Linked DNA regions of Rattus norvegicus. The protein of the gene in region 3 interacts with the protein of the main gene of each other region in a pairwise test. Links are inferred from orthologs where the notes say so. Each region holds a gene or a part of one and is shown on either strand. Other genes may lie near its edges.

Evidence for each region.
Region 1: the proteins of Ubash3a (region 3) and Gfap interact in binary tests that used the Homo sapiens proteins (3 or more experiments, as listed by UniProt). The link is inferred for Rattus norvegicus from reciprocal best matches to the Homo sapiens genes UBASH3A and GFAP.
Region 2: the proteins of Ubash3a (region 3) and Fgfr1op2 interact in binary tests that used the Homo sapiens proteins (3 or more experiments, as listed by UniProt). The link is inferred for Rattus norvegicus from reciprocal best matches to the Homo sapiens genes UBASH3A and FGFR1OP2.

What each region holds. Positions count from the first base shown.
Region 1 is NC_086028.1:88,357,120-88,363,153, reverse strand, and holds the start of Gfap (glial fibrillary acidic protein), read left to right. Parts: upstream 1-1,492; 5' UTR 1,493-1,493; coding exon 1,494-1,948; intron 1,949-2,797; coding exon 2,798-2,858; intron 2,859-3,019; coding exon 3,020-3,115; intron 3,116-3,880; coding exon 3,881-4,042; intron 4,043-4,939; coding exon 4,940-5,065; intron 5,066-5,225; coding exon 5,226-5,446; intron 5,447-6,034.
Region 2 is NC_086022.1:181,220,936-181,226,839, reverse strand, and holds the start of Fgfr1op2 (FGFR1 oncogene partner 2 homolog), read right to left. Parts: upstream 4,543-5,904; 5' UTR 4,226-4,542; intron 1-4,225. UniProt on the Homo sapiens protein: May be involved in wound healing pathway.
Region 3 is NC_086038.1:9,290,604-9,298,242, forward strand, and holds the start of Ubash3a (ubiquitin-associated and SH3 domain-containing protein A), read left to right. Parts: upstream 1-3,086; 5' UTR 3,087-3,141; coding exon 3,142-3,254; intron 3,255-4,961; coding exon 4,962-5,015; intron 5,016-7,639. UniProt on the Homo sapiens protein: Interferes with CBL-mediated down-regulation and degradation of receptor-type tyrosine kinases. Promotes accumulation of activated target receptors, such as T-cell receptors, EGFR and PDGFRB, on the cell surface.

The DNA of each region.
Region 1 (6,034 bases), on a different chromosome or scaffold from region 3:
ATGGTCAGGGGCGGGCACACAGCCTGATTCCCGCTGCACTCCAGGCCCCCTTCAATGCTTTCCGAGAAGTCCATTGAGCTGGGAGCTTGTACTGCACCAAGGGCTGACATCCTGGCAGCCAGGGATGAAAGCAGCCCATGGGGCTACCCTTGCCGTATGCCTCACTGGCGGCAGAGAACAAGGCTCTATTCAGCAAATACCCTGGAGTAGACACCAGAAGTCCAAGCATGGGCAGAGGAAGGCAGGCGTTGGGGGCTGGAGGGGAGCAGAGCTGTCTGTTTTCCAGAAGCCCAAGGGTACAGATGGCGCCTGGGGGGGAACTGAGTGGAGGGGATAGATGGGCCTGAGATCTCAAACATCAACAGCCTCCTCCCCACCAACGATGAAGGTGGAGGTTGGTTTCCCGGACCTACATATCCCCCAGAGACCTGGTGTATGAAAATTCAAAGGAGGTAAGTCTCCTGAGAGAACGGGGGGGCTCACAAATGAAGCCAGCTGTCTTACCCTATCAGGACCTACGTGCATTCCTTCTGTCCTGCCCCCTAAACACACAGCCAGAGGCTCAAATTGATTCTGGAGTCACAAAGGGGGCTTGAAACCCCAGCCCCCAACTCCTGAACTCCAGGAATGAGAAGATAGTACTGGAGGGGTTCAGAGGAGAGGGCTCTGCACATCTGTTGAGAATGGGGGTCCCAGGAGAGTGTAATTTAGGCTGATCCCGGAGGAAGGGAATAGGTTCTTCAAGATCCTAGCATCTCACAGGCCCACAGAGAAGTTCAGAGTTGGGGCAGCCCTGGCTTACAGGCTCTAAGAACTGGAGGCAGTTTACCCAACCCAGCTGTGTGCATGCTGTCCCTCTCTCTGTCTCTGTCTGTCTCTCTCTGTCTCTGTCTCTCTGTGTGTGTGTGTGTGTGCTCACACACGTGTGTGTTTACCACACAAATGTTCATGTGTGTGTACATACATGTGTTGAGGCCAGAGGTCAACCTCAGACACTGTTGACTTGGTTGTCTGAGATAACATTTCCCCCTGGGACCTGAGATTTGCCAATTAGTGTGACCCAGGAAGCCTACTTATTTTCATTCCTCAGCACTGCAGTTACAAGTATGCACTGTCAAACCAGGCCTTTTTTTTTTTTTTTCCAAACCAGGCCTTTTGTATTCGCTCTGTGGCTAGAACTTGGGTCTCCATGCTTGACAGGCAAGCGATTTATGGACTAAGCTGTTTCCTCGGCCCTCTCTTGACCCATTTACCAGAAATGGGGTTTCCTTGATCAATGGTGAAGCCAGGCTGGTGTTCCCAGGAAACCCTTGACTCTGGGTACAGTGACCTTGGTGGGGTGAGAAGAGTTCTCTCCATAGCTGGGCTGGGGCCCAGCTCCACCCCCTCAGGCTATTCAATGGGGTGCTGCCAGGAAGTCAGGGGCAGATCCAGTCCAGCCCGTCCCTCAATAAAGGCCCTGACATCCCAGGAGCCAGCAGAAGCAGGGCAAGATGGAGCGGAGACGTATCACCTCTGCACGCCGCTCCTATGCCTCCTCCGAGACGATGGTCAGGGGCCATGGTCCTACCAGACACCTGGGTACCATTCCGCGCCTCTCCCTGTCTCGAATGACGCCTCCACTCCCTGCCAGGGTAGACTTCTCCCTGGCCGGGGCGCTCAATGCCGGCTTCAAAGAGACTCGGGCCAGCGAGCGTGCGGAGATGATGGAGCTCAATGACCGCTTTGCTAGCTACATCGAGAAGGTCCGCTTCCTGGAACAGCAAAACAAGGCGCTGGCAGCTGAGCTGAACCAGCTTCGAGCCAAGGAGCCCACCAAACTGGCTGACGTTTACCAGGCAGAACTTCGGGAGCTGCGGCTGCGTCTGGACCAGCTTACTACCAACAGTGCCCGGCTGGAGGTGGAGAGGGACAATCTCACACAGGACCTCGGCACCCTGAGGCAGAAGTGAGAAGGGGAATAGGAAAAATGGCTAGTGAGCAGAGAGACTGAATTGAGAGAGGAGCCTGGAAGGAAGGGTACTGCCTCCCCCTAAGGAGAGCCTCTTGGCTGCTGTGTTTCAAAAGGGAGAGCTGTCTTTGTTCCCTAATATGATCAGAATAGCCAGGAAGAGACTGAAAACTTCAGGGATCAGATTCCCAGAGAGAGCTGAGCATTCTGGGTACTTCCACCAAGCTGAGGGAGGCTGTGTGTGGGTAGCCAGGGTACAAGCAGGCAGGTGCTTCAGTCACTGGGCACTATGAATGGCCAGAGAGGTTTGCGTCCACAAGGAGGCTCTTGGTCTCTGAAATATAAGAAATGCAAGAAAGAGCAGGCAGGCCTGGATGCCGGGCCCAGATGGCTGTCTACGACCTGCTTTTGACCCTGCTCAAGTCATTTTGATTGGTTGTAGCTGTAAAGGAGAGGTCATGATACAATCTGTCCTAAAAGATGGTAACCGAGGTCAAACTCTGGGGCGTGGTGCTTTGCTGGGTGGTGGGTATTCACGTGTCCCTCTGGTGCGGGAGGGGCACTGGTGTCAGTGACAGTGGGCGCACGGTGGTGGATGCGTCTCTGGGAACAAGAGCAGGTGCACCAACCCCGATAAGGCACCTCAGTAATGAGTTAAGGAGGAAGCTCTTATCTGTTCACGCTCAGCCAAGGCCTCTGTGTAGGAACCTGCCGTTGCTTACTCTTCCTGCCATTCTACCGATCCTGTGGGATCCGTTTGTGACAGTCCCCTCCCTCTGGAGGTTCGGATAGGGATCCAAGAGTCCTCAGGAAAACCTAAAGCCTGTACTGTGTTCCCTGTCCCAGGCTCCAAGATGAAACCAACCTGAGGCTGGAGGCGGAGAACAACCTGGCTGTGTACAGACAGGTCAGAGAGATGAGAGGGAGGGTGGGGGAGGGGAGGCGGAGGGCCGCCCACCAAACACCGCAGTTGTCTGCTTCCAAGATCCCCACAAGGAGGGGGAAGACAAAGTTGGAAATTTTAGTAGCTAGGACCCTGGGGTCAAAGAGATTCTCTCCCTGCTCCAGGAGGCGGATGAAGCCACCTTGGCTCGTGTGGATCTGGAGAGGAAGGTTGAGTCGCTGGAGGAGGAGATCCAGTTCTTGAGGAAGATCCATGAGGAGGTGAGGCCAGGGAGGGGGAGGGAGGGGCCTTACGAGAAACTGCAGGTGATAGACAGAGACGCTCACAGAGGGAAACGGAGAAACCAAATTTCAGGAAGAAAACAAAAACGAGAGAAAGAGTGAAGACAGAGACTAAGGGAGATGTGTCCAGTATTTACTACCCGTGAAAACACACGCAGGCCTTCCGCCGCCATGTTCTGAGAAGCACAGAACCGAGTCTTGAGTTTCTCCTTCACATCAGCTCTGCGAGCCTTATCACTACCTCCTTCACAACTGTGGGGACCTTGAGGCCCAGAGAGGTTAAAACACACCCCCAAAGTCACACAGCTGAGAACCCCTCTGAGGACCTGTCACAGTGGTATGCATCTCAGCCTGTGAGTGGTAGACGTGGAACGTTTGAACTGTTCAAGGCCAATTTCAGCCACACAGAAAAACTGAGACCAGCCACGCACGCACGCACATCTATTCTCTGACCTCAGAGCCTGGCTGCAAGACATATTCATTCATGCCTGGTTCCTGACTATGCAGTCCTGAGAGGAAGGCACCCTCAAATTCTCATTCCATGCCCATTAGACGCTTTACTTTTACTTTTTGACAGGATATCACTGTGTAGCCTTGGCTGGCCTGGAACATGCACTTCCTCCAGTAACATCTGCCTCATTTCCGTGAGCCATTGCTATAAATGGCAGACAGAGGCGTGAGTCTGGGAGAGTGCAGCCTAGGCCTGAGGCTTGAGCCTCAATACCCCTTCTTTTACCTTATTAGGAAGTTCGAGAACTCCAGGAGCAGCTGGCCCAGCAGCAGGTCCACGTGGAGATGGATGTGGCCAAGCCAGACCTCACAGCGGCTCTGAGAGAGATTCGCACTCAGTACGAGGCAGTGGCCACCAGTAACATGCAAGAAACAGAAGAGTGGTATCGGTCCAAGGTACCTGTGGGGCAGCTTGCCTCTTCCAGGAAGTCTTCCTGCTCCCTCCTGAAGAATAAAGGAAGGAAGGAAGCTAGGGAAGGGTAACCTATCTAGGTGTCCAGTCTTGCCCAGAGAGAGGAGACTTGCCCAAAACCACGCAAGCATTATTACTTCCCAAACTACTCTTGGTTACTGCTATTATAAGTAATATCAGTAATAGTTAATAATAGCTAAAAGGCTCACCAGTTTGCTCAGTGTCACACAGCTCCTAAGTGACAAAGGGATAGCGTTTCCTATCCTAACCCATATCATCAGAGAGCCTGCTTTTTGATGCCTCTGCCAGCCTATGCCCTGCATTACCGAACATCTACTGTGTGTCACGTTCTTTTTTTCTTTTTTTGGAGCTGGGGACCGAACCCAGGGCCTTGCACTTGCTAAGCAAGCGCTCTACCACTGAGCTAAGTCCCAACCCCGTGTGCCACGTTCTTTAGTCCAGATGAGGCCAGCGTTTATACAGACTGTAGGAGGCAGGGACGATGGGGGATGGACTAGGGGTGGGACTTGTGCTAGACAGGCAGCCTAGAGACTCAGGAGAAGAGGGAAGGGCATCTCAGGTGGAGAACAGGGGCTGTGAGGAGGCCTGAGACAGAAAAGCACAGAGACCAGAAATGTCGCTGGCCCAGGGCGCCAAGCCCAGTGTGAGTTAATGAGCCTCACATGCAGGGACAGTCTGGGCAGGATGAAGGCCTAAGAAGTCCTTGGGCTACAGTTGTTCCTCCTAAGGGAGCCCTGAGGTTCCTGGTTTTTCAGTGATCATGTATATCTCCCAGCTCAGGCAGCTCTCTGGGCTGTGCCTTGCGCCATTGGGAGGCTCCAGTCCACTTTCCCTCAATTTTTGGTCCTCTCTGGGTTTAGTTTGCAGACCTCACAGACGTTGCTTCCCGCAACGCAGAGCTGCTCCGCCAGGCCAAGCACGAGGCTAATGACTATCGCCGCCAACTGCAGGCCTTGACCTGCGACCTTGAGTCCTTGCGCGGCACGGTGAGCACGGATCACTGGTTGGATGGGGCAGCAAGAAGTTGCTGGAGGGGGACAGGGATGGAGGGACCGGGGTGGCATAGGCGAACACGGAAGAGATCAGGGGTTGCAGCCTCGAAGTTTCTCAAAATCTCCCGGCCAAGTGATCAGTTCCATCCCGCAGAACGAGTCCTTGGAGAGGCAAATGCGCGAACAGGAGGAGCGCCACGCGCGGGAGTCGGCGAGTTACCAGGAGGCACTCGCTCGGCTGGAGGAGGAGGGCCAAAGCCTCAAGGAGGAGATGGCCCGCCACCTGCAGGAGTACCAGGATCTACTCAACGTTAAGCTAGCCCTGGACATCGAGATCGCCACCTACAGGAAATTGCTGGAGGGCGAAGAAAACCGGTGAGCTCACCTCAGCCCCAGAATTCCTCTTGTTCCTTTCAGTACTCCGGAGTTAGCCTTGTATCCTTCCCACCCAGAGTGTTCAGCCTACGAACAATAGATATTCAAGAAATGTCTGAAGAATAGATGGGTCCAACTACTGGTAATTCTCGGGACTGAGGACTTGAGTTATTCCCCAGATTAAGTGGCTTACCACAAGCATGGCCAACAAAAATGGAATTTCCCATGGTCTGAAGGGCTTGTTCTGCCTCTATGAAGTTATTGTGACTTAAAAAAAAATTCCATCTCCAAAGCCTCCTTCCTGGAAGTATTCTGTGGGGGCAGATAACACAGTCCTGCAGACACTTCCGGCTCCTGGAGAGTGTTGGCTGCTGGGTTGAAAGTTGGTGGTGGAGGCTGGAGAGATAGTTAGGGCTTTGGGTTCCAACATCCATCTTATGGCTTGCAATGGCTTGTAGTAACACTCCAGTTCCAGGGGAACCCACATCTGCCATTGTATGTGTGTGTGTGTGTGTGTGTGTGTGTGTGTGTGTGTGTGTGTGTGTATGTATGCATGTATGTATGTATGTATGTATGTATGTATGTATG
Region 2 (5,904 bases), on a different chromosome or scaffold from region 3:
CAAGCGCAAGGCCCTGGGTTCGGTCCCCACCTCCGAAAAAAAGAAAGTAAAAAAAAAAAAAAAGTAAAAAAAAAAAAAAAAGTGAAAAGGCAAATCAAAGGATATCGACCTCAGTGGTTAACAGTGCTGTGCTCAACTGTGAGCACTAGTGTTCAGACCCCAAGACCCCTGTCAGGGAACACTCAGCTGCAAAACAAAGCCCTCACCTTCTTCTGGCCTTCAAGGTCACAGGTACTGTACTCTTACACATACACACACTTTTTTTTTTTTTTGTGAGAAATGCTAACATCTTTTCAATGAGTGGCACTGGAAGAACTAGACATGTACATGTCAAAAATATTATGTCAATACTATTCTAATTTGATTTAATACAAAGCTTTATGGCTTAAAGCTTTTCTTAAAATGGAACACAAACTTGAGAATAAAATGAGAAATGGTAATGTTTTAAGGAAAAAGGCAAAAGAAAATCTCTATAGTCTGCAGATGATAAAGATCTGTTTTTAGGCATGATAGCATAAGTATGAAACGTAAGAACTATAGAAATGGCTAATGAGCAAGGTTTCATCCAGATGATAAACAGACAGTTAAGACAGTTAAGACAGTGGAGAAGGCACACTCCCTGTGAGGAGCCATTCCCAATCCACATCTGGGGAAGTACTTGTTTAGAAAAAAGCTATCAGTAGAGCAAGAGTAAGTTTAATTTTAAAAATGGCCAGGAGACTTTAATACTTATCCTAAAGATACACAAATGGCAAATAAATACAGAAAGCACATGGAGAGATGTTTACTATCATTAAAGAAACTTAACTACAACAGTCATGATATCCATCACAACCATACTCAAACTGCTAGGTAATACTTAATAATATATTACTATTCTGGGTGGGTTGCCATGGCACATGTGTGACGACAACTTGGAACATGCTCTCTCCACCCACCATGTGAGTTTGGGGATCAAATTCAGGTTATCAGGGTTGGTGGGAAGTGCAGGCCTAATAATTCTAGTTAATTCAAAATGGTAGCTCTCTAGACCTGAAGAATACCATCTTATTTTGCCATTTAGACAAAGAACAAGTGTTAACTCCTTTTTTTCTTTATTGAAAAAAAAAATAAGACTAAAAATTCCAAATAAAGTAGCTGAATGACAGCTCAGCTAATGCAAGGTCTGGAACTCTTTAGCCAAGCTGGATCCAAGGGCCCCATTTGCTCCTTTCTATGTAAAAACTGTCTCAACCTCTTGAGACAGAAAGAACAAATCCCAGATTCTACAAAGTGGAACTTCTAAAAGATTCAATTTTTTTGAGTCATATGGAAATGTACATGAACAATTTTAAACAATAACTTTTAAAATACTTTTCATAACTATAAAAATCTAGCAATTATTTTAAGTATACATAAAAATTAGTCTTAACTAGCAATAAATTATGGTGGGCTTTTTTTTTTTTTTTTTTTTTGGTTCTTTTTTTCGGAGCTGGGGACCGAACCCAGGGCCTTGCGCTTCCTAGGTAAGCGCTCTACCACTGAGCTAAATCCCCAGCCCCTATGGTGGGCTTTTAAAAACTACTACTGTAAAAAATGTTCTCTAGGCTGCACAAAAACTAACAAAATGAACTACATTTTATGTTTTAGAAGTATAAAAAAATCATCTACACACAAGGAATTATAAACAGAAAACTTAACACCTAAATATTTTATAATATGAATCTGCTTTGCCATCCTTTTTGAAAGATGTTTCTCTCCCTTTTTGACTAGTAAAGTGGGAGAGATATTTTCCACATTTTGTTACACAGTAAAAAAGTGAATCCAATTTAAAAAAGGAATACTTTCAATTTATTTACCTATTTTTTCAGTTTTGTCTTAACTAGTCATAATACTCTTAAATTATTTTAAACAGGTAGGCTCAAATTACAGAGGTATGCCTTTAAGAAACAAGTTTTCTTTCTTCTTTTGCTTCCTGCTTAGCCACATTTTCACCCACTCTACCACTAAGACATCTGCAGTCAGATTCTTACAGATGGTCCAGAACATTCTGCTGCTCATTAAAGAGAAACCACCACCTACCCACAGCAGCAATTGCCAGCTGGATACTTTTTAGCTTTTAGTTAAGAAAAATCTAAAGAAATTCAAGTAATTCTTGTTTCTTTTATTAGCAAATCTACTAATCATCCAATTTCTGGAGATACAAAAACATGGTATGATATGACATGTTTTTAGATGTCAAAAATTTAAATTGTTACTGCTCAGGTTGGTACTTCTAGTGTTATTAAATATGCAATAATATTATATTAACTGGCACATGAAAATAGCAACATAAAAATGTGTTTCAAGTCCTTAGAGAAATATTTTAAGAGATCAAGAATGTATATAGCCAGTTATGGGAGTATATACTTTTAATCCCAGCACTAGGGAGGCAGAGCCAGTTGATTTATCTGTGAACTTAAGGCCAGACTGGTCTACCTAGTGAGTTCTAGGACAGCTAGGACTATGTAGAGCCTCCAACAACCACCCATAAACAAACAAACAAAATGTTTATAAAGAACATATAAAAATGAGCATCTTGTTCAGCACATACACTATTTGAAAGTACAGAAAATTCCTACTGTCCTTGAATATTAATATACTTGGAGCTTTATGAAGAAAATCAATTCTTAAAGTTGAAAGGAACACAATTTGAGAGAAAGAGCACATTGAATCAAGACCAATTTATACACTCCCTAAAATTGTGGCTATGTTGTGTGTTCAAATTAACAATCCCAAAAAGAACTAACCTAACCCAAGCCAGTTATTTCTAACATATGGCCAAGAGTTGGAATTTTTCTTATGCTGAGCACTATCAAAAACATTTGCATCCCATAAGATCCTAGTTGTTAAACATGATACTAACATAATATAAAATCATTTGAATGCATAGGGTATGTGCATGCATGTGCATTTGATATTATATACAATCTCCATCCACTAAGAGCAAAAGTACAATTAATTACATAAGTGTTAGGGTTACAAGGCTGCTCATGTTCATGCTCAAAGCAGGTAAGGGCTTTTGGGTTCTAATATTCTGATTTTTAAGAGACAGAATTTTTATAGCAAATTCTTTAGAATGATTACATTATAAATAGTATATAATAATAATGCTTGCTATGAGCCAACACTGAACTAGCATTTGTTTTAAACATGAGTAAGACACGATTCCAGATTCAAGTTCAAGCTGGCAGGAGAGACAGGTAACTGAACAAATAATGCATCCTAATAAATACTGCGGAATTATGTCAAGAGCTCTGGGAGTTCACTGTGTTATCGATGTCACCCGAGGGAGTCTAAAAAGACGTAGGGTTTTGAGAGACGATGAGACAGAAGGAAAACCAAGCATCCCAACAGACTATCTGGGTTCACACAGCAGTGGCGGAAATGTGAGGTATGCTTGGGAAACCCCCAACAGCCGGGCATAAGTGGATGGTAAAAAATTAGGGGCGGCAACAGGATGGCCCTGAAGAGGTAAAATATGATTTAAGATAGGACGGTAAAAAGCCCTGACGGATCGGTAGGCTTAAATTAGAACTTGAAAAAGTTTAAGGAGAGAGAATGCATTTCACAGTAAGTATGGAAGGCTGAGGCGGGCACACCGGTTTGGGGTGGAGGAAGGGCAACTGTCATAGTCACAGTGAAAGAAGCAAAAAATCTGGTGCAGTGTGAGTGGAATACAGAGCCTTAGACAATTCTGAGGTCCGTGTTCTGGAAAGGGGGACGGTACTACGATCAGGGACCGGAAGAAAAGAGACAGGGTCCTCACTCTTGTCAAAGATGACAGTGGCAATATACGGCATGAGTCTTTCAAAGAATGGGATAAAGAAAGAATGCGTGCGGATCACACACACAAATAAGCATCCAGCCCCCACTCATCACTCTGGAAGCAGAGGAACTGCACTGTTCCTGAAAATGGTGGAAAGCACACACTTGGAGCTTCTGAAACATCTGTCTGAGGGAAGCCAGTTGTTCCAACTTGGAACAGAATTTGGAAGGGCGCTGAGGGATTCAAACGATCTCAGCAGCTCCCTCAGGATCGTGGCTAAGTCCCAGTCGCAAACGCGGTCGAGTGCGCTGAGGCAAACTCAACACCGACAAGTCCCTCCAGCCACCGCCCACGGAGCTCCGGAGTGGCAGGAAAGGAAACCCGGAAAGGGTGTCCCGTGGCCTGCAGGCCCGGGGGTTTTCATGGAACTTTCCGTACCTCTGTTCCCGGCAGGAGCTCAGTGAGAGCACGGAGACAGGGAGCCCGGCTCAGAGGTTCACCCACTCGTGTTTTTCCACTCAGCTTCAGTCCCCCTCAGCCGTCAGAGACGGCGACCACCACCCGCGAGATGGAGGCGCCCAGAGAGTGCTCTCCGCGGCCTCGCTGCGCCTGCTCAGCGAGCGGACACACAGCCCTGCTCACACAGCGGCAGGGAGGATCCGGCAGCCCGCTTGCCTCGGCTCCATCCCGGGCGGACCAGAACCTCCGCTACTGGCAGCCACACAGCGACAAGCCTCGCGAGACTTCCCTCCGCGAGTTACCGAAAGCCCCGCCCCCTGCAGGCGGCTGGCTGTTGATTGGTGGATGGGTAGGGGGCGGGGCTTCCCTCTTCTGCTCTCACGGGTTTGCTCTGGCGGCTCGCACTCTCTCGCGCGTTTTCCGAGGGGCTACCGGTCTGGACTGAAGGCGGAGAGGGGAGCTTGAGTGGGTGCGCTCTGCCTGTGCAGAGCCGAGGCCGGCTTATCCCGGCTGCGGCTAGTACTTTGGGGGTTCTCTCAGGTGGTCCTGACCATTCTTCCCAACGGTCGATTGGGAACAATCGTTAGAGCCTTCTTTTTTTTCCCCTCACTTGCTCCGCCCTCTTCCGGTTCGGCCTCTGGTAGCCTCTAAGGGGAAGGGGAAGATGGCGGGACTGTGCGAGAGCGCCGTGCGCACGCGCGAGCCCGAGTGCGCTTTGGTGGGTGCACGCGCATGCGCGCGCTCCTGCGTTTAAGAAGCCGGAGTGTTGGGCGATGAGCCGGGCAGTCAGTCTTCTGCGGGTGGTACCAGACCGTCTGTGCGCCGACTCCCCACCCACCCTCGTCTGCCTTCTCCCTTAGCCTCCGTTCGCTCACTACAGGACCAGGCACGAAAGTAAGCGAACCTCGACGCCGAGGGCTTTCCCGTCCACTCACCTTGTCCCCCCCCCCCCACCCCTCTACCTAGCAGCCAGGTGTGTGCAGAAGGTTGCAGACAGGGACTTTGGGCGGGGAGAGGCGGTGCGCTCCAGAGCAGCCGGAGGTAATAGCGGGTCCCTAAGATGCTTCGTTACACTTGCTCTGTTTCCCATGTGCTTTTAGAATGTAGATTTTTAAAAAAAAATTTTTTTTGCTCTAAAATTTTAAGAGCGAAGCGGGGCAGTGCACCACGTGTGTGTGTGTGTATACATGTATATATATGTGTGTGTGTGTGTGTATATATATATATATATATATATATATATATATATATATATATATATATATAAAAGTTTTAGAAGTGTTTCCTCCTCATCTGCATGAGATAGCATCTGTTCTGGTCTACATGGTGAATTACTGTAGTGTATTGCAAGTTGAGGGAGAGGATGAGAGTTTGGGCCATAGGAAGACCCAATATGCAAGTTACCTTAGGAGATGTGTGTGTATTTGGGGTTATACTTTTGCTGTCAGTCTTTTCCTGTGGATTTTCCTCGGCCCCTAAGAAGGGTCAGCATAAATACATTTGAAGAATGGATCTGTGGTTTGTGGGCATAGGAATCAAATACAATGCGTATAAATGTTTTCTTCTATTTTAAGTGCTTTGTAAAAGAAAAAGAAGTATGAGCTAATTTCATGTGGTAAATTGACTGCATGGTATGACGTAGCTTATTCCTTGAACTG
Region 3 (7,639 bases):
GCTAATGAGTAAAGCCACCGTGGACGTTCAAAGATGGGTTTTCGTGGGAGCACACATTTTCACTTTTCCCTGGTAAAATCTAAAATCAGAATCGGTCCTGTCGCAAATGCATGTTGACCTTTATAAGACATTGTGTCAACACGTTGAACGACAATCCCACCGAAAGCATGGGTGTTTCCGAGAGGTCCCTCACCTTGTTGAAGCCTAACCTTATTGGTCCTTTTGACTTTAGCTCCAAGTCCAGTGGGTGCTATGGAACTGTGCTGTGGTCTTCTTCTATATCCCTCAGTGACAGATGAGGTCAGACGTCTTTCATGAGTGCTCTCGCCTCTTCTCCACCAGGTAGCAGTTAGACACGTTACCGATTTTAAAGATGTGTTTGGTTCTCTCGTTAGCTGTTTGAATACATGCATGCCCTGTACATTCCGGGTATCAGACCAAGTATGTAGGCGCGTGGGAGGGGGTATTTTCTCCCACTCAGTGACTTATCTTTCTTTTCGTTTCCTTTACAACACTTTTCAAAGAGTAAACATTTATGATTTTGACGAAGCCTGATGTGGAAGAATAAAAGATCGCGGGTTACTCCTGTTGTGCCCCAAGAAAGTTTTATAAGCTAAAACACAACATGTATTTCTCTTCTAGGCTTTCTTTGACAGGTTTGGTAGTTTTTGATTTTACGTCTGAGCCCACCATCTATTTTGAATTAACACCATACGTGCTTGCAGTTCCCCAGCACTGTTACGGAAGGAGCAGCCCTTCCTGGGGAGTTAGAATGCCCGATTATTGATTATTGACAGTTGACTGATGTATATGTGAGTCACCTGCACCCTTCCCGGTACATATGCAGCCTGCTCTTTGATTTTTACATAAAAGAGCTAAGAGCAGAGGACAATCTCACAGCTAAATCAGCACACTCTCACACCATAGTGGTTTTTTTAAAAAGGAGCACAAAAATGAACAAATCAGATAAGAGAACACGACAAAGCCAGAAGCAAACTGGCTGACAATACGCTGGTGGCATGGGCTCATCTCGTCAACGGAGAATAAAGAACCTTTAGCCCCACCTCGAACCATTCCCAAAGTAATTGTGTGTCTGCGACACACAATTGTGACAGTGTATGGTGATGTACCATACCCTAACCCCCACTGAGCTCAACGGGAATGACAACCACAGACAAACTTCTAGAACAATGTGGAGGAGACCGCGTTCACTGGTGCGTACGAACAGCGATTTCTCGAACAGGATGCAGAAGGTGCCAGCCAGAGAGAGCTTCCACAGAGTGATTAAAAAATAAGACTGGGGTTGGGGATTTAGCTCAGCAGTAGAGCACTTGCCTAGCAAGCGCAAGGCCCTGGGTTCGGTCCCCAGCTCCGAAAAAAAGAAGAAAAAAAAAAATAAGACTAACAAGCCAAATCTCGGGAGGAAGGAGCAGAGAGATCCAAGAAGACACTTCCCCAGAGAGACTGCTCTGTGGCCAGTAAGCCTGTAGTCAAACAGCCCTGGTATTTTGGTCCGTAGTTGAGGAATGCAAATTGCAACCACATGGAGATGCTACTGTAAACTGACCAGAGGACTGAAAACAGAAAAAGAAAAAAAAAAAAAACAAAAAAAAACCCAAAAAACCAAACACACCAAGCCTCTCATCCTCAGAGGGCCAGAGGGTAGATTGTCGATTCGGCCCACATGTACTCCAGCAAAAAAGTAGGTGGAAGAACCAGGCACCGTTTAGTAGGATGTTTGTCAGGGTAGCAGTGAAGTGCAAGCATGGGTGGATCCCATAGACATCGATTGGAGCCAAGAATCAGGACAGGAGGAGCTAAGGGGCTGCAGTTGCCTAGCATGGATGGAGCTCTGGATTCAATCCCTGGCATCATGAAAAGAAAAGAAAGGAGAGAAGAGAAGAGAAGAGAAGAGAGGAGAGGAGAGGAGAGGAGAGGAGAGGAGAGGAGAGGAGAGGAGAGGAGAGGAAGGGAAAGGAGGGGAGGGGAGGGGAAGGGAGAGGGAAGGAGAAGGGAGAGGGGAGGGGAAGAGAGGGGTGGGGAGGAGAAAGGAGGGGAGGGAAGGGGAAAGGAGGAAGGGAGGGGAGGGGTGGAGAGAGAAAGAGGACAGAAGAAGGGAGAGAGGAGAGGGGAGGGGAGGGGAGGGGAGGAGAGGAGAGGAGAGGAGAGGAGAGGAGAGGAGGAAAGTGGGGAGCGGAGGGAAGGGGAAGGGAGGGAAGGGGAGAGGAGAGGAGAGGAGAGGAGAGGAGAACACAGCCATGATAATAGAGCATGAGTTCCAGTGTTCTAGCTACACGAGTCTTCAAATTAAAGCACAAAAGAGATTCCAAGGGGATAACCTTGGAAGAGGGAGGCAGGGAGGGGTAGGGATGCTTCTAAGGGTCTGGAAAGTTCTGGAGCAGCATTTCCTAACCTGCCTTGCTGATACTGGGCAAGCCTGCCCTTTTCTGTACAGACAGTCCTGGGTCCTGTGGCCTCTGCGGTTGGCATCCACTAGTTGCCAAAATGTCTCCAGACACTGTCAACTGTCCCCTTGCGGGGGTGGGGGGTGCAAAAGTTAAATGCTGCGGGCTTTGCATTACTGTTTCATTGGTCCTGGGGAGAGGAAATCTACTCTGTGGAAATTCCTCATGCTCCATACATAGCACTGAATGTTAAAAGTTCTTCCAAAAAAAAAAAAAAGTCAATTAAACCTTTTCTTAGAGTTTTCTAAGCAAGCAGGGGCAGTGTATAGAGTGAACACCCGTGTTTCGTCTGCAGACACAGAGGCTAAGGTCCAGGGTGGCAAGGGTGGGTGCCTGGCAGAACCTACAGAAGAAGCCTGTTCCAGACTCCTCCTTTTGCTCCTCCCTCCCCCACACTCTCAGGTCTTCCTTCTCCCAAACGCACCCAGCAGATCCCAATGATGAACTTCGGGCCAGACCTCAACTGTGGAAGCCGGTGGGTTTGGAAAACATTGGCTGTGGACCGGCAGGGAGAATTGAAGCCGGATCATTGTGCAAACAGGATATTCGCTTGTGTCAGAGAGATCAAAAGAGGCTTGAGGTTTTTCTTCACAGCCTCAGCCTGCCTCCTTCTCCTCTCTCACTTTATCTAATCCTTGCAGTGAGCAGACGCCTCGTGTACGGCAAGCAGGAAGGCATGGCTGCCGGGGAGACACAGCTCTATGCCAAGGTCTCCAACAAGCTCAAGGGCCGCAGCACCTCCTCACTCCTGGACCCCCTCCTGGCTTTGGGCTTCCCCACACATACCGCGTGAGTACTGCGGCTGCCACAGCCCTAGAGCCCGGCTTCCCTGCCTGGGTGGATCCTCTCCTCCGCCTGTCGTGCAACTGGATAACCGAGTGTGGCTGACTTCCTGCTAAAGTGGTCACCTAATTGTGTAAGACGGGCGTCTCACAAGAAGGCCCCTTCCTCTTGCTTAAACATGGAATGGTCTTGAGCTCTGAAAGATGAGCTCTTCCTATTGACTGACAGGGGCATGCGCACATTAGAAGCCATGTGGGCCTCTGGCTGCTCACTTTGGAGGGGGAGGGTTGGAGGGGTTTGGGGGCAAATGTTCCTCTCCTGTGCACTGGCGAATCTTATGGTGACGTTTCAAGGTATGCGACTCTGACATGAGGCTCTAAGGCTAGGATCCCCTGAGAGAATTATCGTTCGAGTTTCTAAGCAGCCCAGGGAAAGTCGCTTGCCTTTAGGGAACACATCTGGAATACCCGGTGACAAAGTAGAATGTGTGAGAAGTTCCAGAGACAGCTCACCCCAGCACCACTGGGCTCATCCAAGTCCCCCTGGGCTCAGAGAGGAAAGAGATGTTGCTGACCGTGGTCAGGGCATCCATCGTAAACCTGCTTCTTAGCGGCCGTCCTCTCAGATCCTTACTCCCAAGGAGACGCCAAGTCGGAAGTATGCTTCAGAGAACCCGGGGCTCAGGCAGTGAGCCAAATAAGTCCTTCGATGAGATAGCAAGAACCTGGCTACCAGGGAGGACATTGGCATCGAAGCTGGTCTCCTCTTCTCCCAATATCGGGGCTTCTTGGTCACTAAATGGGGAACAGAACCCACCAGGAAGCCGCACATGAGAACACCAAGGCCTAAAGAGTAGCCAGCGGCAAGCCTAGGTAGGACAGGAGCAGGCTCCCAAGGCCTCCGAGACCCATTCTGTTTTACTACTCAAGCCGTGCAGTGGGCTCACCTTCCAAATCCCTGCTAGCTTAAACCAGTAAACACCCGAGTGTCTACAGGTTCTTAGGTGGGGCTCAGAAGGGGCTCATGGCTGGACCTCTCTGTCATGGCCTCTCTAGACGGCTACATCTCCACTGCTCTTCGCCCAAATACTGGGCGATATTACACTGGGTTCCAACGTGGACCAGCGGTTTCAGCCACTGATGGTTGGGTGCGTGGCCCACTCTGGTCTCTCTGGCCCAACTCAGCCAAATTGAAGTCAGCCTGTGTACACCCCAGGTCCCAGAATGACTAAGACGCATGGGAACCATGAGGAAAGCACCAGCGAGTAGTGGGGGTGGGGGGAGACACAGGAGAGGGATGTGGATGAGCCTGCCCAGTGGTTAGTTAAGGAACGCTACCTGCTAAGCAACCGGGGTTGGGCTGCATCTGTCAGGGCAGCACAGGCTCGAGCCAGGAATGCAGCCTGTCCCAGCCCAGTTGAGCATCCACAAGTAGATGACGTCGGCTTTGTTGCAGGGTAGCAGGGTGCAGAGAGACGAAAGGAAGAGAGAGCAGAGGTTGGGACTTGACAACCAGGACCCAGGGTCAAGAAATCAAGCCGTGGGTGTGGCATGAGTCACTGTATGAAAGATGGAGATCTTGGCATAAAGGGAAGTCCAGCAGCTTGGCCCTGGTAGGACACAGTGTGGAAGAGAAACCATTTTACTACCAGAGCTCACCCCTTCCAAAGAAGAGCCGAGCGGGCCTTGACTCTGCTGTGTTCTCGTTCCACAGGCTCAAAGCACTGGCGGCCACAGGGATGAAGACAGCAGAGGAGGCCGCAGACTGGTCAGTGGAATGGGGGCTGCATGGTTACCAGGGGCTTGGGTGACTCCACCAGGGACTCTATACCCCAGGCAGGTCTTCTGAGTGGGATGGGGTTCCTGCAGAAAAGATTCAAAATGACATCCATTTGCACCAGTTCTGAGCCCAGAGAAATAGTGAAACCCAACTTTAAGACATAAGGACAGAGGGCTGGAGAGATGGCTCAGTGGTTAGAGCACTGACTGCTCTTCCAGAGGTCCTGAGTTCGATTCCCAGCAACCACATGGTGGCTCACAACCATCTGTAATGGGATCTGACGTCCTCTTCTGGTGAATCTGAAGACAGCGACAGTGTACTCATATAATATAATAAATAAATCTTTTTTTAAGACATTAAGAGATAGAGACTGTTCTCACTTAAAAGCCAGATTTAGGGCTCTGCACAGATTCTTCCAAACATCCTGGCTTCTACCCCTTGCACATAAGTGCAAGCGCTCTCGCTCTCTCTCTCTCTCTCATGCACACACCTGATTTTTTAATCCAAATTTGACTCAAAAAAGATTCATGTTTGTGATATACGTTAAGTAAGCAGGGAGGTGTCTTTTTTTTGTTGCTATGAAATTCACACACTCACAGGCTGCTGCAATGGAGGAGAGTTTAAAGACAGTTGGGAATCCCCAAGGTATCGAAGGGTAAACCCCCAGTAGGGTTAGGGAAAGATGACCCTCCTTACCTCATATTTCAACCATCTGCCTGGGGGGTGAGGTTGGGAGTCCTTGTTTTTGGGAGCTCCTCCCCAGCCTTGGTGTCACTTGCCGTCACCCTTCCACCCAACTGGGAAGTCCCTCCCACCTCTTATCTGAAGAAGCCACAGTGAAAGTCAAACAGCGAAAAGCAGATCCTGGGCTCTGCTATGGCTCAGTGGTGAGGGCTCACCTAAGTGTGGGGACCTGAGCGCTCTACTAGTTCCCTTTCCTGTTGCTGTGAGATCAAACGCTCAACAGAGGCAACTAAAGAAGGAAGGGCTTGTCTGGGAGTGTTTGACAGTGGTGGGGAAAGCCGTGAGATGTGCTGGGATGTGAGACAGCTGGTCTCTTACCATCCACAGTGAGGAAGCTGGGGGAGAGGGGAATGTTGGCCCCTTCCGTAGGATCACTCAGTCACTCATTCGGGTTGAGCCTTCCTTCCTCAGTTGACCCAGCCTAGACTTTCTCTCATGGTGGAGCCTGGCAGTTTCTCTTCTAGGATTGATTCTAGAGTCTAGCAAATAAACGATCAATATTTGCCACCCCAGGTTCCGTGCCGAACTCTATCTACCTAAAAAAACTCTTCCAGCACTAGATAGAAGCCTGGGAGAGGGACCAGGGTTCTGTGTTCTAGGAGAACCTCTGCCTATAAGGCCACAGGCCAAGGATGTACAGGCAGAGTGTGCATAGGCAGAGGGAGCACAGGCAGAGGGAGCACAGGCAGAGGAAGCACAGGCAGAGGGAGCACGGGCAGAGGGAGCACAGGCAGAGGGAGCACAGGCAGAGGGAGCATAGAGAGGGTATGGGTGCACAGGCAGAGGGAGCACAGGCAGAGGGAGCACAGGCAGAGGGAGCATAGAGAGGGTATGGGTGCACAGGCAGAGGGAGCACAAGCAGAGGGAGCACAGGCAGAGGGAGCACAGGCAGAGGGAGCACAGGCAGAGGGAGCACAGGCAGAGGGAGCACAGGCAGAGGGAGCACGGGCAGAGGGCTCACGGGCAGAGGGCTCACAGGCAGAGGGCTCACAGGCAGAGGGAGCATAGAGAGGGTATGGGTGCACAGGCAGAGAGAGCACAGGCAGAGGGAGCACAGGCAGAGGGAGCATAGAGAGGGTATGGGTGCACAGGCAGAGGGAGCACTGGCAGAGGGAGCACAGGCAGAGGGAGCACAGGCAGAGGGAGCACGGGCAGAGGGAGCACAGGCAGAGGGAGCACAGGCAGAGGGAGCATAGAGAGGGTATGGGTGCACAGGCAGAGGGCTCACAGGCAGAGGGAGCACAGGCAGAGGGAGCACTGGCAGAGGGAGCACAGGCAGAGGGCTCACAGGCAGAGGGAGCACAGGCAGAGGGAGCATAGAGAGGGTATGGGTGCACAGGCAGAGGGAGCACAGGCAGAGGGAGCACAGACAAAGGGAGCACAGGCAGAGGAAGCACAGACAGAGGGCTCACAGGCAGAGGGAGCATAGAGAGGGTATGGGTGCACAGGCAGAGAGAGCACAGGCAGAGGGAGCACTGGCAGAGGGAGCACAGGCAGAGGGAGCACTGGCAGAGGGAGCACAGGCAGAGGGAGCATAGAGAGGGTATGGGTGCACAGGCAGAGAGAGCACAGGCAGAGGGAGCACAGGCAGAGGGAGCATAGGCAGAGGGAGCATAGGCAGAGGATATGGGTGCACAGGCAGAGGGAGCACAGGCAGAAGGCTCACAGGCAGAGGGAGCACAGGCAGAGGGCTCACGGGCAGAGGGTGCACAGGCAACACCTCTACTTGGATAGGGCAATGCCCAGAGTCCTGGCAGCCTTACAAGACGGTGGGTAGTCAGGCAGTGCCTCAGAGTTCCAGCCATCTGACTTCAAAGCCAGCCTCCAGATTCTAACTATACACCACAGGCTAAACTCAGTAGTTGAAG